Caenorhabditis elegans: one gene and its partners. The protein of the gene in region 1 purifies or fractionates together with the protein of each later gene. This does not show direct contact. Each region holds a gene or a part of one and is shown on either strand. Other genes may lie near its edges. The genes, in order: idh-2, F09E5.8, wago-1 and men-1.

Region 1 (4,607 bases):
TAAACTTTTACAATATTGACGTAATTTTATACTACAAAAATTGTTTGCAGGTTGTCCTTGACTCAAAGTTGTCCAGCGACATCACAATCGTTCTAGCAATGTTCCGGAAACAGGAGGCTGTTGCCAAGGATGCAGCAACAGATATAATTTTTGATGGTCGTGGTAACATTGTTTTTGCAAATGAAAAACACTGTCAGAGTATCCAATAGTTCAATTTTCCTATTAAGTTAGCTTTAATTTTATGTTCTTCTTAGAAACTCATGCTAAATTTTTGCACTGTTTTATCTTTTTATCCTATGTTCTGTTTTAAAACTATCCACTTTTCTTCCATATCTCTGACATCGTTCCCATTCTTTAACTTTTGGATCTCTCATTCTATATTTTTAGAGAATTCCTCCCATTTCCCGATTTCACATTTTCTTCCCAGTAATTTTGGCAATTTATCCTTGCCATGTTCCGATTTTCTCGTTTGTTCAAACATTTTCAATTTAATTTCATTCCCCCAATTAACCTTTGTTTTGTCAATTGCACGTGAATAAAAATTGTTTCATTTACATTTTTTCTTGAAAAATAAAAATATGGCAATAAGAAGATGGAGTACAAATGTCATCAGAACACTAAATACACTAGAAATAATTTACGAAATGGAGTGTTTTTTAATCCTGGCGCATGAGCTCTGCCATCTTGGTGTCAATAGCGGACAGAAAATCTTCAGTAATAAGATAAGCTCCTTTCTCGGTTCCCTTCTTGGTTCCATGAATGCAAATTGAAAGATCTTTCGTCATTTTTCCCTCCTCGACAGTGTCAATGCATGCCTTTTCCAAAGTAAGGGAGAACCTGAAACATCAATTTTCAAATAAGAAAATCAAATTTTTTTGTTTGCTGGGATTTTTTGCTAAAAATTTTGGGACTGTTGTTTTCAAAAAATTGTTTAATTGTTGTGAAAGTTGCCCACAGGTGCTGGATAAAGTTTTCGAAATTATAAAGAAGAGAAAGAAAAACGAGATGTATCTGTTGTAACAATTCGGCTAAATTATGTTCAAATTTAGAAGGCGAGAAGTTAGAAACATTTGAATTTTTGACTAGTTTTTCAAAAATTTGATTAGAGAGTAAATATTTTAGGAACGTTATCTCACGTCTTCAATGCTTCATTATTGTCAAGTACGCCTCTGTGATGAAGACCTCTTGTCCAAGCAAAGATAGACGCAATTGGGTTTGTAGACGTCGAGTTACCCTTCTGATGTTCACGATAATGTCGAGTGACTGTTCCATGCGCAGCTTCTGCTTCAATTGTCTTTCCGTCGGGACACATCAAAACTGAAGACATGAGACCGAGCGATCCGTATCCTGAAAATAATAATTTTTGCGGAAGATTCTTGAAAAGCAAGACTAAAAACCTTGAGCAACAATGTCACTTTGCACATCTCCGTCGTAGTTCTTGCAAGCCCACACAAATCCTCCAGAGCTCTTCAATGCCTGTGCAACTTGATCATCAATTAATCGATGCTCGTACCAAATTTTATTGTTCTTGAAATCCGCTTCATATTTCCTTAAAACATAAACATTTGAATGAGATTTTTTTGGATTACCCTACTTTTCATATATATCTTGGAAAATATCCTTGAATCGTCCATCATATTTCTTCAGAATCGTGTTCTTTGTGGAAAGATACAGTGGCCATTGCTTCATCAATGCGTATTGGAAACAAGAATGAGCAAATCCTTTAATGCTCTCATCAGTATTATACATAGCCAATCCAACACCTCCCGACTTTTTGAAGTCATACACGTTATGCACATCTTTGGATCCGTCTGGCTTGTTAACTAAAAGCTGAAGGGTCGATCCACTTGGAATAACTAAATCTGTGCATTTATACTGATCTCCAAAAGCGTGGCGGCCAATTGTGATCGGCTGAGTCCATCCAGGCACTAGTCGTGGAATGTTCTTGCAAAGAATTGGCTCACGAAATACAGTTCCTCCTAGAATATTTCTGATTGTTCCGTTTGGTGAGAGCCACATCTTCTTAAGATTAAACTCTTTGATGCGAGCCTCGTCCGGAGTGATTGTGGCGCATTTGATTCCAACACTGTGCTCAAGAATTGCATGGGCTGCGTCAATGGTGACCTGCAAACTTGAACTTCAATATTTTAGTGCATCTGGTAGTGGCAACACGTGGGCGGTATTTGAAAACTATATATTCGAGCCTAGAATCTTAATGGAACTGGGAAAAGTGATGAACAGGGTAATTTTCCAGATACTTCTGCACTGGAGGATAATTCCTATTCAATCGAAAAGGAAACCAGTTTTATGTTTCAATAAATGCAAGTTATCGTTTACTTTTAGTTTTATCAAAACGCGAACTATCAATCAAACCGTCATACTACATTGGTTTTAAAACTCACCTGATCATTTGTCTCGTCTCTGTATTCAAGACCAAGGTCATAATATTTGATGTCGAGATCCAGGTATGGAAGAATTAACTGAAAATTTGCACTCCTCAGAGATTTGGTGTATAGTATCTCACCTTATTCTTAATTTCTTTCCAGATGATTCTCGTCATCTCATCTCCATCCAAATCGACAACTGGGTTATCCACTTTAATTTTCTGCCGTTCCTGAGTTGCTGCAGTAGCCACATTGCGAGCAAGAAGTACGTTGCGTGATGTCAGACGGCTTAACATTTTTACCTGAATAATTTGTTTTGATAAAATAGATTAAATTAAGAAAATGTCTTTGAAACAAGTTCATACGTTAAAAAAAACAACAAAATGGAACAAATGCAGCCATCGTTTGTACGCGCAAACGGTCACTTTGATAAGAAGGACAAGGAATTGTCGTGTTATCTTGATACATTGCCAGGTCGTTCTTGCTGATTCGATTCCGAAGGAGGAGAGATTATAGAGGGTCAGAGAATGAAACAAACAGGCGGAGGATAGGATAGAAGGCTGGGTCGATAGTGTACTGGTGCAAACTGTTTGATCCTCGCATCATAGTCCACAAAAAACTCAAGGTCCCCTTTTCCCGGCTACGTACGCAGGCAGAGAAAACGACGCACTTTTGCGGACAGAATGGAAGGAGAAGAGAACGTCGCTTTAGATGAAGATTTTCAAATACATTACGTGGAATCTCAATTATTATTGATTTCTTTCATGCTTAAAGCTTATATTTAGTTTTTTTTTCGTTCTGTTCTTTCTTTTAATGTGCTTCATTTTTCAGGATGACCTCAATAAAACGAGGTACATGGTTTTTCATCTTCGTACTCGGAGTTTTTACAGCCATTACGTGTGAATTTACTAGTGAGTTTTTTTAAAATTATTTATGAATTGTTCATTAATTATAAAGAAAATTAATCTTTGTAGCTCAGCTAACATATCTTCACGTGGTCAGTCACATAGCTATCTTAACAGCGGCCCACTTTGCATTGGTATTCCCACCGGAGGAACTGCTCGACGGACTCGGGCTCACACTTTTTGACTTGTTTACAATTCTATATAATTCAAGACAGCACGACTTTGTGGAGTATGCTGCAAAACGGGTGGCATTCTTTCACGCATTTGTTGCCTTCTATCCCTGTGGTGAGTGTTGGAATTTTTTCAAAAGTGAAAAGGACAACAGAATCCTACAAAATAAAATAACAATTTCGGACAAATGATTGAACCTCAAATGACGGCTCGCCGATTTTTTCAGTAATGCATTTCAAAAGACAAACATTGTTTAGTAATGAAAGCTTCGACTACAAATTCAATACGAATACAATTGGATCTAGTAACTCATGAAATAGCTTGAAGGAGGGCTAACGGTTCGGACAACTTTAAACGTAGAGATCCAAAATGTGCTCAAATGAACGAATTTTTTAATGTAAAAATATTGGTAATCTCATTTTATTCCGGTAATTAAGGTACATTCAAAAATTTCGGTTATTTTTTATACCTGATACCTATCGGCCTAAGAAAAAAAACCTATCGGCTTGAAAAAAATCTTAATCAACCAAATAATGTGATAAACTTTCAAAATGGCACAGCAAAGTAAGCAAAATTCATAATTTTTCCAAATTTTGAACCGCCATAAAGCTTTTTGAAACATTTTTGATGAGTCTCATTACCTAATTCGTTCATTTAAGCACTATTTGAGCCTATAAGTTCAAAATAGCCAAGGCCGTTACTCCTCCTTCAACGAGTTTTCAAAATATATAATTCCAAATTTTAGGATTTCTCAGATGCGTTTAAGTACCCTCTTATTAATTTGAAACTGAATCGATTCGTCAGATCTATTTTACTTTCTACATATGTATGAACTGATTAAAACATATGCGCACAAAATAATTTAGTATTGTTAATATTCGAGTTTGAATAAGACTTGAAATAAATATTTTGAAAGACAAATAGAGTTTTTTTTTTAAATTTTCATCACGTTTCTGCATTTATTGTTTAGAAAAATCAATTTCAGTCATTGCTGCCTACTTCGTGCATGGAAACATCTTGATGACTGCAGCTGACACTCGTCGATTTCCATCAGTTCTGGATTATCCTTGGATGTGGTTCACAGTGCTTTTTGTCGCTTTGATTGGTAATGAAGTTTTCCTGAAAACGCGGTCAATTGTCATTTTAA
Region 2 (3,477 bases), on another chromosome or scaffold:
CTCTTGAGAAGTTCAACAACTTCATATCTTTTTGAAAGTGTAACAGCAAGCTCATAAAGGCGTTCTTTTGATGGTGAAGAAGACATTGATGAAACTGCGATTTTTCTCATAATTAATTGCACCTAAAATATAAATTTAGTTTTGAAAAACGTAAATTTCAGTATACTGCAATTTCGCTTCTCCTCGATTCGTGATCACAATCACGACTGACTTTCACATGGCCTGTCTCAGTCTTGATACGCACGGATCCGGGGCACTTTCTCGAGTTTTCCAGTGTAACGTTACATCTGAAATAAATTAATGAAATGTGTGACAATTTTTTCCTAGCGATAATTCACCTAGCCACAATGTCCCCATTTTTCAGTGTTTCTCTCGGACGATAGCTTTGATTGTTGAAAATGACCAATGGAGCTCCTCGTTTCGTCGAAATACTGAAATTGCATAGTTTCTATGTTTAATTGTTTTAGAAGTTAGAAGGCATACCAAAAATCTGAACTATTCTCGCTGATATATTCCGGTGCCATTTCAAGCACCCCTCTTGGGCTATTGGCAATCGGTCTATAGTGCATCAGAGAACGTAACACGTGTGACTTGCTGGAATTTTATATTTTGATAGAGTTATTGATTAATAACAACCTATTTGTCAAAAACCAATCCGGATGGTATGGAGTCTCTTCGTCTTCAAACGGAGATTGATATGAATTGTGACCTAAAAATACAACGTCTGTTATTTCTATTTAATTATTAGTTAAGACCTACACAGAAGATTGAATTCACTTGTTTCCTGTAGATCGTGATCCATTTCTTCGGGAAATACAGCTGGATAAAAATCAAAAAATCTTTCAGTATTTGCCATGGAATCTGTTGTATCCAAGCTTGTTTCCTGAGTAGAATTGGCTATTGAATCGCATTCCGGGATATCGTCAGTGGATCTCGGCTCATCGAGCTCTCGAGAATTTGAAGGAAACTGCATATACGAATCAGACCGACGTGGTGATGCAGGTGGAGTAACCAGATCGATTGTTGCAGGAGTCGATTCACATACATTTGTAGTAGACGCTTTCGGATTTCTTTTCTTCTTTAGATCCCTGTCGAACGCTGAAAAATACTTTTCACTCTTCAATTAATCTTTAGACATCAATACTTGCCTCTAAAAAAGCGTTTGGCTCCGCTTGGATCACTCTCAGCATCAAGTTCTTCTTTTTTCCGGGAAGGAAACGCTCATTTTCGATTAATATTAATTTTGATCGATTCGAAATCGAATGAAACCCGTTTTTGTCATCGAAAATTCTGAAAATATCCGTATTTAGCTCGAATAAAACTAATTAATTTCCATTAAAAATCCGTTTTTAATTGAATTCCGTTCGAAATTTCCTGTTGGAAAAATAAATAAATAAATACGAAGAAGCGTGCGGCGCATTGCAAAAAGCCGTGCGGCGCATTGCGAAGGACTGTGCGGCGGGCTTGCGAAAAGGCGCGCCGCACATTGCCCTACTGAAAGCGTTCCTTACGAAAAAATCCCCTTACGAAAACGTACCCCCTCTAGAAATTTCTTATTTTGTTGTTTCCTTCCTTTTCCGTGTTTAGAACTAAATAATATAGTTTTCAGGTAGAAAATGTCTATAGAAATTGTACAAAAAAGTCTATTCAACATTATTGAAGCCGTTGCCGACGCCGTTACTGCTTCGCAAGCCACAAAAAGGTTGGTAAACCGGAAATTATTGCGAAACTAAATTAATAATGAATTTTTCAGATGTCGACTTGTTGCTGTCAGTAAAACAAAGTCTGCTGATTTAATAGAGGCATGTTATTCTCAAAATCAGCGTCATTTTGGAGAGAATTACGTCCAAGAAGTGAGAGAAAAATCATCAACAAAACTTTTGAAAATGATTCCTTATTGTTCAGCTTGAAGAAAAATCTGATGTTTTGGCGTCAAAATGTTTAGATATTCGTTGGCATTTTATCGGACAAGTGCAATCAAATAAAGTTAGTTCTGATGGAAAATTTACCTTATTTATTAATCATTTAAAAATTTTTAGATTGGAAAAATTTGCAATTCTCCTGGACTTTGGTGTGTTGAAACAGTGGAGACTGAGAAACATGCTCGGATTTTCGACAAGGTGTGTTTAGTGACTATTAATCTATTTTAATTAAATATCTTGAAGGAATGGTCAAAACACGGAGCCAATTTGTCACCACTACGAGTTCTCGTGCAAGTAAATACATCCGGAGAAGATAATAAAGGAGGAATCGAGATTGGAGAAGCACCGAAACTTGCGGAATTCATTCGAAAAGAATGCCAAAACTTGAAATTTGATGGATTCATGACTATCGGATCGTTTGACAACAGGTATATATTTATTTATTGTTACGACTATCCTACTAAAAAGTTGTTCAGTGGCAGGTGAAATGGAAATAGGTGTAAGAAATGATGAAAATGAACGTTTTATATTAATTATTACTTGTAAATAATGATCAAGCTAACAAGCGATAAATTAAATATTTACCATAAAATAAAAGTTCAATTTTACAGCCACGCAAGCGGAGAAAATCCGGATTTCGAGAAGCTCTTCAAAGTCCGACAAACATGGGCAGAACAAACAGGTGAACAGATTTTCTAGAAAAATCAAAGCGAGAACCGTCAGTGGTTGACGTCAAAAAATAAAACTTATGCTTCAAGAAATGTTTTGAAATGTTGGATCCACAAAGTTTCTAAACAAAAACTTGAAAAGTATTGATTTCAGGTGAATCTGCGGATTCAGTAGAACTCTCAATGGGAATGTCCGATGATTTCCTTCAAGCAATTCATCAAGGTGCAACAAGTGTTCGAGTGGGAAGCAAGCTGTTCGGAGCCAGAGAATACAAAAATAAATAGATTTACATTCCATTTTTTAGTTTGTTATTTTTTTAGTATTTAAAGAAAATTCACTATTCAAATTCACTTTTTTTTTAATTACCAGATTCCAATTCAGTTGCTGTTACTGTTTAAATACCTTTCTTTTGAATTGAACTTTTCAGTTCCTTCAGCATTTTTTTCAGTCACAGAATAATGGATAATTTCCGATCGGAAATTCTCAAGGAAACTCGAGAATTAATGCTCAATGAGCAGCAACATGTAGGTTAATTCTTTACTTTTAAGCAAATTAAGCGTGATTCATTCAGGAGGAAAGCATGAAATCTTGGAACGGACCTGAAACGAAAGGATTTGAATTAAAATTCGGAGGCACCAAGCGAGGAGTTCCACAGAACTCTGGAGTAGTTGGTCAGGTTTTCATCAGTGAGGATGGAGGATTTGAAGCAATCATAACTGGATATGTCATAAAAAGTAAGTTTTGAAAATAAAATTGTCAGTTATAATTCGATTTTTCAGACAGTCTCCGTTCCATCGCAGCTTCTTTCACAGTAACTCCTTCGTCTTCTCTGAAATCTGATTTGTCGGAAGGTCTTCATCCACTCGTGCTTGCTATTGGATCAGCT
Region 3 (5,871 bases), on another chromosome or scaffold:
AAAAAAAAAAAATAATCTAAAAATGTTTGATTCTTGTATTCAGACATATTCTCTCAATGGCACAACATTAACCACAATCTATTACAGAGGGCGAATTGTATGGGCTCACGGAAAACTTCAAACAGTTCCCGGATCTGGGAAATTTATTCCCCTTCTTGCGAATTCACCATTCGTTTTTTCAACTCACGAGAAAAGGGAACAGAAAATTCAACCAAGGATAGTTGAAAGGCTTGAATGAAATTGCTTTTTTATTTATTACTTTTCTTGTTCTGATTAACTTTCGAATTACCATTTTGAGTTAAAAACGTGAATAAATTGTTTGTTCAATATTGAGATTACAACCAAAAAGTAATATTTAGTCGACTAGTCAATTGACTTGGAAGCAGCTCTAGAAATGTTTAATGTTCCAATTTCAAAAAAAAATCGAACAAAATTCCCCCTCATTATCAGACAATCTTCGTTTTCACTTGAAGATCCTCAAAAAACATCGCCTCGAACTTTTACGCACAAAGCAAATCTTTGAAAAATATTATCAGCCTAAAACTTTTATCATACCGAGTTTAATTACTACGGGTCACACAGAACCACATTACAAAAATATAAAACATTTGACTAAAAAATTACAATAAAACTAGCGGAAAAACCGTAAAATTATTATCCTAGGTGACCGTAAAATTATTATCCTAGGTAAAACATCAAGTGTATGTGGCATAGCTCCAAATCTATGCATTGACGCGCTTCTGATTGAGATCGGTTTGTTTGTAGCCGATTTCCTTTGTAAGTTCCTTGAGGCGCTCGCCTTGCGACTCCTTTGCTTCAATTGGTCCTTTAGTCCTGCAAAATATAAATAAATTTTTGTTTTAAACAAAAAAAACCTACGTTAGTTCACCCCAGAGATCTCTTCCACGCTTTGCATACTCATTTGCCACATAAAGTGGAGTGGGAATCGACGTGCTCAGGGAAACAATTTGGTGATGATGACACAAAGTGAAGGTCAGCTCCTCCAGGCGGTCCATTGGAGCTTTGCAGTCGTCAGCAAGAACAGTGTACAATGGTGTCTTTGCTGTTCCTTGAAGAGTCGTGTGACCGTTCAGGAAGAACTGCTTACATGCCGGATTCGTGACAGCGTTATCCAAGACAATGCCCGGAGGAATATTCATTTCAGTGGCTTTGCCGCCCGAACGAAGCTGAAAAGTTAGCGTAAAGAGAATAATAAAACAAATTTACCTGATCACGGAAGAATCGGTAACTGTGCTCCTTAGTGACGACGATGAAAATCAATTTGATTTCTTTCGAGTAACCATGGATAATAGCTCGGGCTAATGGGATTTCATAAGCCAGAATAGAAGCGTGAGAACCCTCCGATGCACCACTTCTATAAATGATGATTCTTTTTGGCAACGCTTTGCGGTTCTTTTCGAACAAATCGATTGAATTTTGCAACACGTCTTCAATTGATGCCATTGTCTGTAAAAATTACCATGTTGTTAACTCGAACACATTAATTATTTACGTCCTGTCCGGAGGGAGCCAAAACGAAATCGCCGACAAACTCGTGATTTGCAACAGCATTTGAAGCGAAGCCAATGATTTGTGGATTAAGATGTCCCTTGTTATCCATCATGTACTTCGTTCCAGCCGGTGGTGCGGAAACGCCAACTCCGATGATCAATTGTTCGTCGGTCATGCTCTTCTTTGCATCCGAAACAGTGTAGTTAAGACCACCTAACTTCACGTTAGTTTTGTTGATGATGTTCTCCAACGTCAATCTCTTCCCATCTTTGACAACGGCATTGGCTTTGGAAATTTTCATATCCTGGACGATCATCATTGTTCTCTGTTCCAAGGCTTTGTACTGCTCTGAAATTTTCAATGAACCATGAAAACTTAAGGAAAACTTACTGTGGAGGTGAACGATTGCGTCATCAGTGATCATCAAGACATACTTGCACTTACTCGCAGCCACTTTTTCCAGCTGAGTCATAATTTTTTCCGTACTGTAAAGTCCTGTTTCACATGGTGGCTTGATCACCATGCCTTTCTTCTTGCAAGAATCAATGAACATTCCGACGAGTTGGCTTAAGAATTGAATTGATTCATGTAAATTTCTATTTGTCTTACTTGACATCTCCAATGGAGAATCTGCAACCTGGATTTCCAACAGCGTAAGCAGCCCACAAATCAGGAACAGTCGCAGGCTTCACAAACCATCCTGGAGGCGCACGCCATTTTCCCATATCCGACATTACCGATCTCTGGTATACAAGTTCTTTTCCATCAAGCTCACGTGCTTGGACCTGGAAAAAGAAAACAAATATATTTTTTTACAATTTACACAAACTAACCATCAGAGGCTCCGAGTAAACCTTGATTCCAAGAGCGACGAGCAACTCGTTTTCGAGTGTAATGTTGACAGCATTTTTACCAGTGATGATCATTCGCTGACGGACATCCGGAAGAACCGCGCACTCCTTCGTTGTCTTTTGAGATTGATTTCCCGTTTGCTGAGGAATGGTGACACGTTGATTTCTGGACACAGTCATCAGTTCAGCCGGGAAGTAATTGTTGTTGCCTCGATCCTTACAAACCACCAAATTGGCGTTCGGATACTGTAGACTGATCTTGTATTTGTCCGCATAGTACTCGGCGATTGAACAAGTTTTTCCATCGGGCAACTCAAATCTGGTCTTTGTGGCACTTTCGTGAAAGATACCTTCGATTCTTAGATGGCGCTTTCTGTTGGTATAAGTCGAATAGCAATCAAGTCCTTTAATCACTGCCGCAGCCTTCTCACGGGTCATATTATTGAGTCCATTTGAAGGATCTTGTCCCGTGATGTCGAACAGTTTTTGGATCACAGTTTGCTCTTTGTGGAAAGCAGCTTTCATACCATCAATCACGAGAGATGGATTGTTCTGTCCGCGACCATAAGGACCCTCGATGAATTGAATCGTCTTCTTGAGGCCAGGATAAAGTTGTTTTCCGTCTCCTACGTCGACACAGTCTCGTTGATCGAATCCTTCTTCGGTGGCGTTGAGGAAATATACTTTTCCGTGCTCGAAGCATCCGAAACGATTTCTAAAATGAAGCGATGCTTTTAATAATTTTCGAAATTCACTTACGTTTCTCTCACGCAATGTTGATTCAGAGCAAGTTCCAAGAATTGAGTGTATTCTCGATTGTTTACTTCAATGTTTTGATCCGCAGTACGCTTGCCCAGATTTTCAGAAGAGAGCGTGATAGAGTTGTCCCTTGGGGCATAAATCTCGAGAGAAATGCAAGGCAGGGTCTTAAGGTCGTCATTGCCGGTATCAGCTCCGTTGATTTGGAAGACTTTGGACTTCGTACCGTTGGCATCCAGTTCTGAGAACAAGTTGACCGTCGTGTAGAGAGTTGATTGACCGTCATATACAATCTGATTCCCATCCTTCATTTTGAAGAATTCCGGGTTCTTCTCAACCGCAAGGAAAAAGATGTTGCAACACTTATCGCGACGATCCTGAACGACGAAGTCCTCCTTTCCTTTTTTAGTGAAAGTCACTTCCTTTGTTGAAGTCAAATCGGCCTTTGCGTGAACCATAAAACGATGAACTGTGGTTTCCTTTGTGACTTCAATTCCGAAGACATTGGTTTGGATGTCCACTGGTCTGCCCATTTTTCCAGGTTCGGTTGGCTTCATGTACATTTTCGCACCATCCTCAACCTGCAAATATGGCATTAGAAAGATCTTTGAATGCTGATAAACATACGTTTAACTGTTGTAAACGCTTGATGCATGCGTCGTTGCCAGTGCTTTGGTGAAGCTTTTGAGCATCGGCTGGAACTGGAGGCATTGGAGTCATAGCTCCTGGTGGAGCAGTGACTGGTGGCATTGGAGGCATCGGTGGATGCGGTTGTGGTGGATGAGGAGACATCTTATTACTATTGCAATATTAGTTCTGAAAAAAGCTTATATAAATAATATTCTGCACCGAATAAGCGAGATTGGAGAACATCTATAGAAAATTATGAATTTGTGAGATATTTAACAATAGTTTAAACAAATAAATCAGTTTTCTTCAAGAGATCAATCTAGAACGAAAATGGTACGTTATGAAGAAAGGGCAAACTACGGAATTTTCGTATTGCCGACGAAAAAGAATAATGATTCGAGATTTTTCGGTGTTTCAGAGGCGGCATAAAAACAAATAACGACTAGATTTGTACAAAATCATCATTATTAATGACGCAAGAATACAGAATCCGATAATTGGCGGCTAGATCAAATGTAGATCACTTTTACATTTTTAAGATTCAACGAGCAAGTTTCTTAAGATTTTGTAACTAGATTATTATTAAAATATAAAAATAATCTTGAAAATTAACAAAAATTATTGAAAACTGTCACAAACCGGAAAAGAATACAAAAAACAATTTCTTCGTCCTAAAAAATTTAAATGACAACGCATACAGTACATAAGAATGGAGATCGCTGCGAGACCCACTCAGTGTTAAAACGAACGCTCCTTGAATTTATTTTTGCTGTACAGCCTTATTTTTCTCCTTTTTACAAGTATTGTGTGCTTTCCATGTTTTAAAAAGTGACTTAGTTGTTAATTTTATTTTGAATGATACTCATCTAATTCAGGCTTGTAGCTTAGATCGCAATGAAGTTAATCGTTTGCAACCTATGTGGATTCCCGCCAGCAAGAAGGCAATTTTACATCACCACCTGCTCTCACATCTTGTCGAACAACGCAGACTGCTGGATTTTGTTATTTGTGTAAGGTCCCTACGAAAACTCTTAAAATAGATGGAAATCTGCCGAAAATGTGCGGAAAATGTTCAGCGCTGTACATCCCGATTCGCGACGTGACTGTAAAAAGTACAGATATTCTCAAACGTCTCACCAGAATTATTGGTTTTTAAAGTATTCAGAATTCAATTTATTAGGAAAACGAAAAATAAAAGGTAATTTTTTGCACTTGTTTCATGCAGAAGAAAAAGTTTTATTTCAGTCGGTGATGCTAAAAGATCAAACGGCGAAAACAGAGAAAAGGACACAGGAAATCACATGCCAACTGTCGAAGCTAGCCAATTTTGAGGAAAATAATCGAAAGAAGCTTCAAGATACTGAACGCGAGAACAAGAAGCTTCGAAATTTGTAAGTAGTTTCTGCACGAGATTAAATTTAACATTTTTTTTCTATTTTAGAATCAATTCCCTTGAACTGAAACTTGTCAGTTCTCCTGTTATCGACAATAACGATTTTTTTATTCAAGGAAAATCTACCTCTTCAAATCCTTTTTTTTTTAATCTCGGAAAATGACGAATTGCTCGAACGTGTATTTCACTTCCATTGTGCCACCTTCACCAAATTGTCAGACTTCCAACTTCTTTTTTTTCCAACACCAATGTATGTTGCAAATGAGTACGCGAAGAGTGGTCGTAATTTGTGGAATGAAGCCATGTGAGTTTAAGAAAATGACAACAGTTGATATTAAAATATTTTTGCAGCATTGCGGATGCAATTCCCGAAGTTTCTGGACCAGAGGCAGCTCGTATGAAGCAGATTACCGATAGCATCAAATACAAGGAATCCGGCTTCCTGATCGACCGTCGTGTCAATGCTTCAGCACTAATAATTCAATCAAATTGTAGTATTTTCAATTCCAACTTCTAGTTTGTGAGAAGCATACCATGATTTTTTATTTGTATCCCACCCTGTCATTCTTGTTTTTGCGTTACATACAATGCGTATCTAATAGTAAGTGGTGTAACTGCTAATTTCATTTTCCCCCGTTGCCCTATTATTGTTTTGACCTACGTGGAAATTGATTTTTTGTTGTTGTTGTTGAGTGCAGATTATAGAATGTAGCCTGTTGTTATGTT
Region 4 (7,873 bases), on another chromosome or scaffold:
TCAAAATTTTTTCATGTTTTTCAGCTAAAAATGCTTTTTTCCATGAAAAATTATTCTTTTCCTCGAGGAGTACACGACTCGCGTAAATCGGTACACGGCCATTTTTTGCATTAAAAAGTGAGGAAAATCAATTTTTTCGGGTGGGGAAAAGTCTTTTTTTGTCATTTTTAAAAATGTTTTTCATCCATTTTTCATGTTTTTTCAGCTTGAAATGCTAGGAAAATCGAAATTTTCCCGATTTTTTCCAAATTTCCACTCAAAAAATTGCTTTTCTCTCCGAGGAGTACACGATTCGCGTAAATCGACACATGGCCATTTTTTGCATTAAAAAGTGAGGAAAATCACTTTTTTTCGGGGAAAAGTTTTTTTTTTTGGTATTTTTCAACAGTTTTTCATGTTTTTTTCAGCAAAAAATGTCTAAAAATTGCAGGAAAATCGAAATTTTCCGACGTTTTTTTTTTTCAAATTTCCACTCAAAAACAACCGCACCATATCATCGGGTTTCGGGTGCAAAGTGGCCAAATCGTGTCGATAACAATACTCGCCAACTTCTACGGCAATTTTCACCGAAAGTTCTCGAATATCCTTCAGACGTGGATATACACGTGAATACGTGTTCAACGACTTCTCCGATACGGCTTCGGCGACCATACGGGCGGCCAGAAGGAACAGCTTGTCCGGAATGTTTTTGGTACGGAAGAGGACGGCTCCGAGAGCAACACCCGGGAAGATGTAGGCGTTGTTTCCCTGTCCTGGCTTATAGAGTTTTCCATTCATTTCGACATTTTCGAACGGGGATCCGGAGGCGAAGAGGACGGCTCCCTGCAAAAATTGGGTATTTTTGGAGGGAAAAATAACTGATTTTTCAGATTTTTCATTGAAAAATGATTTTTAAGATTAAAAATTGACATTTTTCCAAATTTTTCCATAGAAAATTAATTTTAATTCCATTTAAAATCATTTTTCCACGAAAGAGCTGAAAAATATAAATTTTTATTAAATTCTAAAATCATTTTTTCAACTAAAAATCTAAAAAGAATAAATTTTAAAATTGACATTTTCCACAATTTTCTTCGAAAAAATTAACTTACAATTGGAAGAAATTGTACCTTTTTAAAGATTTTTCTGTTAAAAAACAAAATTTAATTCAATTTAAAATCATTTTTCCGTAAAAAATCTGAAAAAACGACGCAACTTTAAATTATAAAATTGACTTCAATAAATTAAAAACTAAAACATTATTTTAAAATGATTTTTTTTTAATTAAAATTGGCATTTTCCAGATTTTTTAAAGAAAAATAAATTTAAAATATTCTCTTTGCCGTGGAAAATATTAATTTTCAATTAAAAAAGGTTAATTTTTGATTTATAAAGTCACTTTTTAAAAGGTAAATCTGAAAAAAAACGGTCAATTTTTGAATTTCAAAATAATTTTTCCATGAAAAATCAAGCGAAAATTGGCAAATTCTACATTTCTCAACTAAAAAAGTGCAGATTTTCTCCATATTTTTCCAGTTTTTTTTTCCAATTTTCGTTATTATTTTTATTACTATTTAAAAATTACTTTTTTCCCAGATTTTTCATTTAAAACCGCTCTAAATTCTAAAAATTGATATATATTTTAGATTTTAAAATTTAAATTTTCAGATTTCCAGATTTCTCTTTGAAAAGCGACTTTAAAATTACTATTTTTCAGGTTTTTCATTGAAAAATGGCTCTAAATTGTAAAAATTGAGATTTTTTAAGTTTTTTATTTGAAAAAAAAAACATTTTTTCATGGAAAATCTGAAAAAAAAACGGTTAATTTTTAACACAAAAAGTCCGGAAAATTATACATTTGGATTTAAAAATTTTTGATTTTTTTTCCATGAAAAAGCTGGAAAATAATAATTTTTAACTAACTTTTCATTGGAAAAATCTGAAAAACGGCGAATTTTTGAATTTAAAAATTCACTTTTCCATGAAAAATGCAGTAAATTCAGCTCAAAAAATCTGAAAAATTCAGATTTTCTCCATATTTTTCCAGTTTTTTCTCTAAATTTACATATCCCGTACATTTGTGCAGCGATAAGCCGTCTCCGCAGTGCATTCTGCTTTACTTGTAGGGTTGGACAGTGCAAAAATGATTGGCCTCGGGTTCAGCCGAGCCATTTCCTTAATAATATCCTCCGTAAATGCTCCAGCCACCGTAGATGCTCCGATGAGTGCTCCAGGCTTGACAGTCTTCACAACTTCCAGCAGATTCTTGGTATCCGGAAGATCTTTAGCGAATTTCACATGTCTCTCGCCAAGAGATTTACTACGAGACGTCGTGATGAGTCCTTCAATATCAACCATATAAATCCGACCGCAAGCTTCTTCCTCCGACAATCCCTCGTCCATCATCTGTCGGACACACATTTCGGCGACTCCGGTGGCGGCTCCACCGGCTCCGAGGAAGACGATCCGTTCCTGGGAGAGCTTCTTCTTGGTGATACGAGTTGAGGCGAGCAGGCCGGCGACGACGACAGCGGCGGTACCTGGAAATTTGCAAAAAAATTTTTTTTACAAAATTTATTTCTAACTATTTTTTAATTTTTTTTTTTAATCAAAAATTTCAAATCTGAAATCTGAAAACAAAAGAACTTTTAATTTTTAATTTTTAAAACTATTTTTTAAAGACCTTTTTTTTTTGTTTCCTATTTTATATTGAAAAAATCCAAATTTCCTGGGAAACTATTATTTTTAGAATCAATTTTTCACTTTTATTTCCAAGTTCAAGGTCAAAAAAATCGAAATTTTCAAAAAATTAAAATTTCCCAAAAAAAAAAAGAAGCAAAATTTCTCTTTAAAAAATTGAAATTTCCAGAAAAATCCGAAATTTCCCGAAATTTTCCGACATTTTCAACCCGAAATTCAGAATCAGCATACTTTAATTAACAATTTTCAGCTCATTTAAACGAAATATCGTAGAATCCGGTGCCAAGTACGCAAACACCGAAGCTCTGCGTACTTCTGAGGCTACAGTAACCCGGAAATTTTCAAAATTGAGCTAGAGACTCCAAAATAATTACATGGCTAGGGGTAAAGAAATTTTACGGAAAACTTTTACGGCGGAATTTTGCAGTTAAAATATAAAGTTATAAAGGAATATATCCCCTCAAATTTGCTTCACTATTTTTTTGAAACTCCAAAATTCGAGTTTCCCGTGAAACTTCACCCCGGGCTGTACTTTTTTTTTCGAGTTACTAGCTCAATTTTGAAAATATCCGGGTTACTGTAGCCCCGAAAGTACGCAGCGCTTCGGTGTTTGCGTACCAGACACCAGATTCTACGAGATTTCTTCGTCTAAATGAGCTGAAAATTGGCGCACAGGGCAATAAAAGTATGCTGATTCTGAATTTCATATTTGAAAACAGTGAAAATTCAGATTTTTTTTGAAAAATTTCGGCCAAAATGCAATTTTTTTTCTCAAATGTGCATTTTAAAGCCTTTTTCTCCGATTTTTTCGCTTTTTTTCCTCAATTTCCCCCCTGCCAAATTCTACCTTGAATATCATCATTAAACATGCAATATTCTCCCTTATACCGATCCAACAACCGATACGCATTCTGATTTCCAAAATCTTCAAATTGAATCAGCGTATCCCGTCCGAACCGCTTCGTGGCCGCCTTCATAAAATTATCGACGAGCGTATCGTATTCGGGACCTCTAACACGCTTTCTACGGAGCCCCGTGTAGAATGGATCGTTGAGCAGCTCGCTGTTATCAGTTCCCACGTCGAGAATCACCGGGAGACACCATTCCGGGCGAATCCCTGCGAGCGCAACGTAGAGTGCAAGTTTTCCAACGGGAATTCCGATTCCATAGGTTCCCAGGTCGCCGAGGCCGAGGATCCGCTCTCCGTCAGTGATCACAATTGCTCGGACGTTCTCTGTCGGCCAATTTGCAAGAATCTGATGGATTTTACTAATACTATTATCATTAATAGTAATGTAGAGACCCTTTGGGTTACGGTAGATGAATCCGAAATGCTGACAGGCTTGTCCTACGGTAGGAGTGTACACAATTGGCATGAGCTCCTTCACATTATCGCAGAGCACTCGGTAGTAGAGCTTCTCGTTACGATCCTGCAACGAGTCCAATTGAATGTACTTGGCAAGGTTGTCAGGTTGCTGGCGGAGTTTTGTGATGATACGGTAGGCTTGTTGCTCTTCGGTCATAAATGCGGGTGGCAGAAGCCCGTGAACTCCGAGATATTGACGTTCGTGGAGGGAAAAAGCCATTCCCTTATTGAGCCCGGGCGACTTGAGCAGGTCGATTCCTCGCTTCTGGGGTGTGGTGCGTTCCGGGCGGTAGAGCTTGTGAAGGGCCAGAGTTTTGGGATCGGAGAGATCCGGCTCGTTTTTGTCGCTCAGGCATCGTGTTGATGTGGAGAGACGGCGGATGCTGGAAATTTGGGGATTTTTGGTTTTTCATTGAAAAAAATGGCAAAAATTCAGATTTTCCCGGAGAAACCCATTTAAAATGACCGAAATTCAAATTTTTCGGAAAAAAAAATCCATAAATAATGGCTAAAAATTCAGATTTTCATGGAAAAAATTTATTTAAAATCGTTAAAATTCAGATTTTCCAGAAAAAAAACTATTTAAAATGGCTAAAAAGTAGATTTTCACGGAAAAATGTATTCGAAATGGCTGAAACTCAGATTTTTCTGGGAAAATGCCATTAAAACGGCTAAATTTCAAATTTTCCGGAAAAAAATCCATAAAAAATGACTAAATATTCAGATTTTCCCGGAAAAATCCATTTAAAAGGCTGAAAATCGGATTTTTTGGAAAAAATTTTTTTTAATGACTAAAACAGTAGATTTTCACGGAAAAAATGTATTTGAAATGGCTGAAACTCAAATTTTTTAAATATAAAAAATGGCTAAAAATCAAGCTTTCCCAGAAAAATCAATTAAAAACGGCTGAAATTCAGATTTTCTCCGAAAAAAATTCATGAAAAATGGCTAAAAATCGGATTTTCTCGGAAAAAATCCCTTAAAAACGGCTGTAATTCAGTTTTTTCCAAAAAAAAATCCATTGAAAATAGCGAAAATTCAGATTTCTCCTGGAAAAACTCATTCAAACGGCTCAAATTGAGACTTTTTCCCGGAAAAATACATTAAAAATAGCGAAAAATCTGTTTTTCCAGAAAAAAAACTATTTATAATGACTAAAACTCAGATTTTTCCGAAAAAAAATTGATTACAAATGGCTTAAAATCAGATTTTCCAGGAAAAAATGCATAAAAAATGGCGGAAAATTCATTTTAAAAATGTTGAAATTTTAGATTTTCCCGGAAAAAATCCATTAAAAATTGGCTGAAATTCAGATTTTTTCGGAAAAATCCACCAACTGCGGCTAAAAATCAGATTTTTCTGGAATAAAACCATAAAAAATGTCAAAAATTCATTCAAAATGCCAGAAATACAGACTTTTTCGGAAAAAAATCTAGTAAAATGGCTGAAATGCAGATTTTCCCGGAGAAAACCATTTAAAATGGCTGAAGTTCAGATTTTTTTAGAAAAAATAAATTTAAAATGATTAAAACTCAGATTTTCCAAGAAAAATTGGGCAAAATCGCAGAAAAATCGCAGAAATTGAAATTTTCATAGGTTTTTATCGAAAAAATCTACAAATTTTTTAAATACTCGTCAAAATTCGTAGACTTTTTCAACGAAAACCTGTAAAAATTTCAATTTCTGCAATTTCTCGCAGAAAAATCGATATTTTACGCATTTTTGCCGAGACCATCTGAATTTCACCCATTTTTCATAAATTTTTTCCGAGAAAAGCAGAATTTCAGCCGTTTTAAATGGATTTTTCCGGGAAAATCTGAATTTTTAGTCATTTTTAATACATTTCTCGAATTTCAGCTAATTTCAACGCAAAATCCTCCCTACCTGGCAGGCGAAAGACGGCTCAGCATTTTTCGTGATTCCCGCACGGTTGTGAAACCCAAGAGCAAATGAGAATTGATTCTGAAATGAGACGGAAAAATGTAAAATTTCGATAAAAACTTTTTTTTTTGAAACACGTGAAATAAAAACGGTGACAATTGATAAGAAAAATGAGTGCATTTTATCAATTTTTATTCAGAAAAAATTATGGAAAACCTGAAAATTCGGGAAAACTCGCGGTGAAACTGGAGAGACAATTGCCTGAGAAGCCACAAATGGGGGCGCCCGTCGTCTATCGATCCACGTATTCTTTCGGGATAAACTATGTGCGAGAGATCTGCACTCAGCGGAGAGACGCAGGGAGAAAAAGAAAACAAAAACACGGGCGGAACTCTTTTCTTGAAAAAATGAATTTTTATTTCAAAAAGTAAGATGGAAAATCGTTTTTCCTTCGAGTGGCGGCGAAATGAGTGCTTGGGGGAGCAAGTATGCGGTGAGAGGAGGGAAGAGGGAGAAAAAGCGAGAAAAATGATGTTTTCCCGTGTTTTTTTCTTGTTTATAGCGATATTTTTCGATCAAGGTGGCCTTGTCATCGAATTAGCCGTGATCTTTGGGGTTTTAATTGGAAGAAACAGATATTTTAATGCGATTTTTTGAATTTTCCACAAAAAATAAAGAAATTAGTTTATTTTTCCTCTCGAAAACCGACAAAAACTCAAGAAAATAACGAAAATCAATGAAAAAAATAAAGAAAAATTGTCGTCAAATGTGGCGCATTGGCCGCAAAGTACGCAGTTGCCGTGTCAATTCACCGGCGCCAATTCGAATTTTGAAAGGTTTTTTCATTAAAAAATAGCTTTTTAAAGAGAATTTCTGGATTTTGAACTGTTTTTTCATTAAAAATAGCTTTTTAAAGAGAATTTCTGGATTTTGAAAGGTTTTTTCATTAAAAAACAGCTTTGAAAAGAGAATTTCTGGATTTTGAAAGGTTTTTTCATTAAAAAACAGTTTTTTAAAGAGAATTTCTGGATTTTGAACGAGTTTTCCGGTTATTTTCAATATTTTCCCACTCCCAACGCAGCTGTCAGCTCAACACGTGTTCACAGGAAGTCAACAAATCGGATAAAGTGATCTTTGGCCAATTTTTCTGATTTTTCGACGGAATTATTTGATAAGAATGCGATTAGTGTGTTGGCATTTGGAAAAAAAAAGGTTTATTAGATAAATTGATCAATTTCGGGGAAAACATTTAAAAGTTTCTGCAAAATAATAGGGAAAAATAGCGAAAAATATTTAAATGACAAAAAAATACAGAAAAAAAACAGAAAAACAGGGATAATTAGAGATTCTTCGACTTTTCGTACAAAAAAAAACTGGGGGGAAAAGAGGCGCAGAGATCACATATTTGAGGGTAGACGGGCGGGAAAGAGAGAATATATTACATTTTGACAAGAATTTTTTGTCAGGGACTATTTAATAGTAAATTTTAAAAAATCGAATATTTATTTATTTATTAAAGCTATTTTTTGAGATACGCGTTCAGTTCTCGCTTCGTTTTCAGCCTGTTCCGTGGATGGCGGACTTCTCGGCCATCTTCCAGTCGGACCGTGTACTCGATCATCTGTCCTTTTCCACGGAAGTACGCGTCGTAGACTTGCTTGTCGTCCCACACTACTTTTACCTGCAAAACAAATTGGGGAATTTATTGATTTTTTTGGGGGTTTTTAGGACTTTTTTATAGTATTTCCGGGCTTTTTCTTTATTTATAATTTATTTAAAAAAACAGGAAAACCCATTAAAAATGACTAGAAGACTTGAGTTTTCCCTAGAAAAATCGTGATTTTAAAGGGGAAAATCTGAATTTCGGCTGTTTATAATGAATTTTTCCCGAAAAATCTGAAATATTCAGCTGAATTTTAGCTATTTAAAAACAATATTTTCGAAAAA

What was found.
Region 2: the proteins of idh-2 (region 1) and F09E5.8 fractionate together in Caenorhabditis elegans (co-fractionation; one large-scale study listed by BioGRID). This does not show direct contact.
Region 3: the proteins of idh-2 (region 1) and wago-1 fractionate together in Caenorhabditis elegans (co-fractionation; one large-scale study listed by BioGRID). This does not show direct contact.
Region 4: the proteins of idh-2 (region 1) and men-1 fractionate together in Caenorhabditis elegans (co-fractionation; one large-scale study listed by BioGRID). This does not show direct contact.

What each region holds. Positions count from the first base shown.
Region 1 is NC_003284.9:11,214,079-11,218,685, reverse strand, and holds idh-2 (Isocitrate dehydrogenase [NADP]), read right to left. Parts: upstream 2,687-4,607; 5' UTR 2,681-2,686; coding exon 2,525-2,680; intron 2,481-2,524; coding exon 2,403-2,480; intron 2,341-2,402; exon of another isoform or gene 2,207-2,340; intron 2,125-2,206; coding exon 1,595-2,124; intron 1,550-1,594; coding exon 1,398-1,549; intron 1,348-1,397; coding exon 1,137-1,347; intron 838-1,136; coding exon 657-837; 3' UTR 536-656; downstream 1-535. Other genes in the region: C34F6.9 (USP domain-containing protein), read left to right, coding at 51-209; C34F6.7 (uncharacterized protein), read left to right, coding at 3,217-3,295, 3,359-3,574, 4,446-4,565.
Region 2 is NC_003280.10:5,349,060-5,352,536, forward strand, and holds F09E5.8 (Pyridoxal phosphate homeostasis protein), read left to right. Parts: upstream 1-1,609; 5' UTR 1,610-1,616; coding exon 1,617-1,702; intron 1,703-1,753; coding exon 1,754-1,853; intron 1,854-1,905; coding exon 1,906-1,986; intron 1,987-2,039; coding exon 2,040-2,120; intron 2,121-2,165; coding exon 2,166-2,350; intron 2,351-2,533; coding exon 2,534-2,604; intron 2,605-2,744; coding exon 2,745-2,875; 3' UTR 2,876-2,934; downstream 2,935-3,477. Other genes in the region: F09E5.7 (PI31_Prot_N domain-containing protein), read left to right, coding at 3,050-3,115, 3,163-3,325, 3,371-3,477. UniProt on the Caenorhabditis elegans protein: Pyridoxal 5'-phosphate (PLP)-binding protein, which may be involved in intracellular homeostatic regulation of pyridoxal 5'-phosphate (PLP), the active form of vitamin B6.
Region 3 is NC_003279.8:7,233,451-7,239,321, reverse strand, and holds wago-1 (Argonaute protein wago-1), read right to left. Parts: upstream 3,939-5,871; 5' UTR 3,915-3,938; coding exon 3,750-3,914; intron 3,704-3,749; coding exon 3,123-3,703; intron 3,079-3,122; coding exon 2,346-3,078; intron 2,298-2,345; coding exon 2,122-2,297; intron 2,079-2,121; coding exon 1,903-2,078; intron 1,861-1,902; coding exon 1,514-1,860; intron 1,468-1,513; coding exon 1,228-1,467; intron 1,188-1,227; coding exon 880-1,187; intron 835-879; coding exon 723-834; 3' UTR 530-722; downstream 1-529. Other genes in the region: dhp-1 (Dihydropyrimidinase 1), read left to right, coding at 88-238; R06C7.2 (BEN domain-containing protein), read left to right, coding at 4,821-5,143, 5,194-5,218, 5,262-5,449, 5,497-5,662. UniProt on the Caenorhabditis elegans protein: Argonaute protein which is involved in the endogenous small interfering RNA (endo-siRNA) pathway. Interacts with secondary 22G-RNAs, which are RNA-dependent RNA polymerase-derived endo-siRNAs, typically 22 nucleotides in length with a 5'guanosine residue.
Region 4 is NC_003280.10:14,227,849-14,235,721, forward strand, and holds the start of men-1 (Malic enzyme), read right to left. Parts: upstream 6,008-7,873; 5' UTR 5,956-6,007; coding exon 5,930-5,955; intron 4,429-5,929; coding exon 3,527-4,428; intron 2,520-3,526; coding exon 2,056-2,519; intron 823-2,055; coding exon 490-822; intron 1-489. Other genes in the region: jmjd-2 (Lysine-specific demethylase 4), read right to left, coding at 7,446-7,607.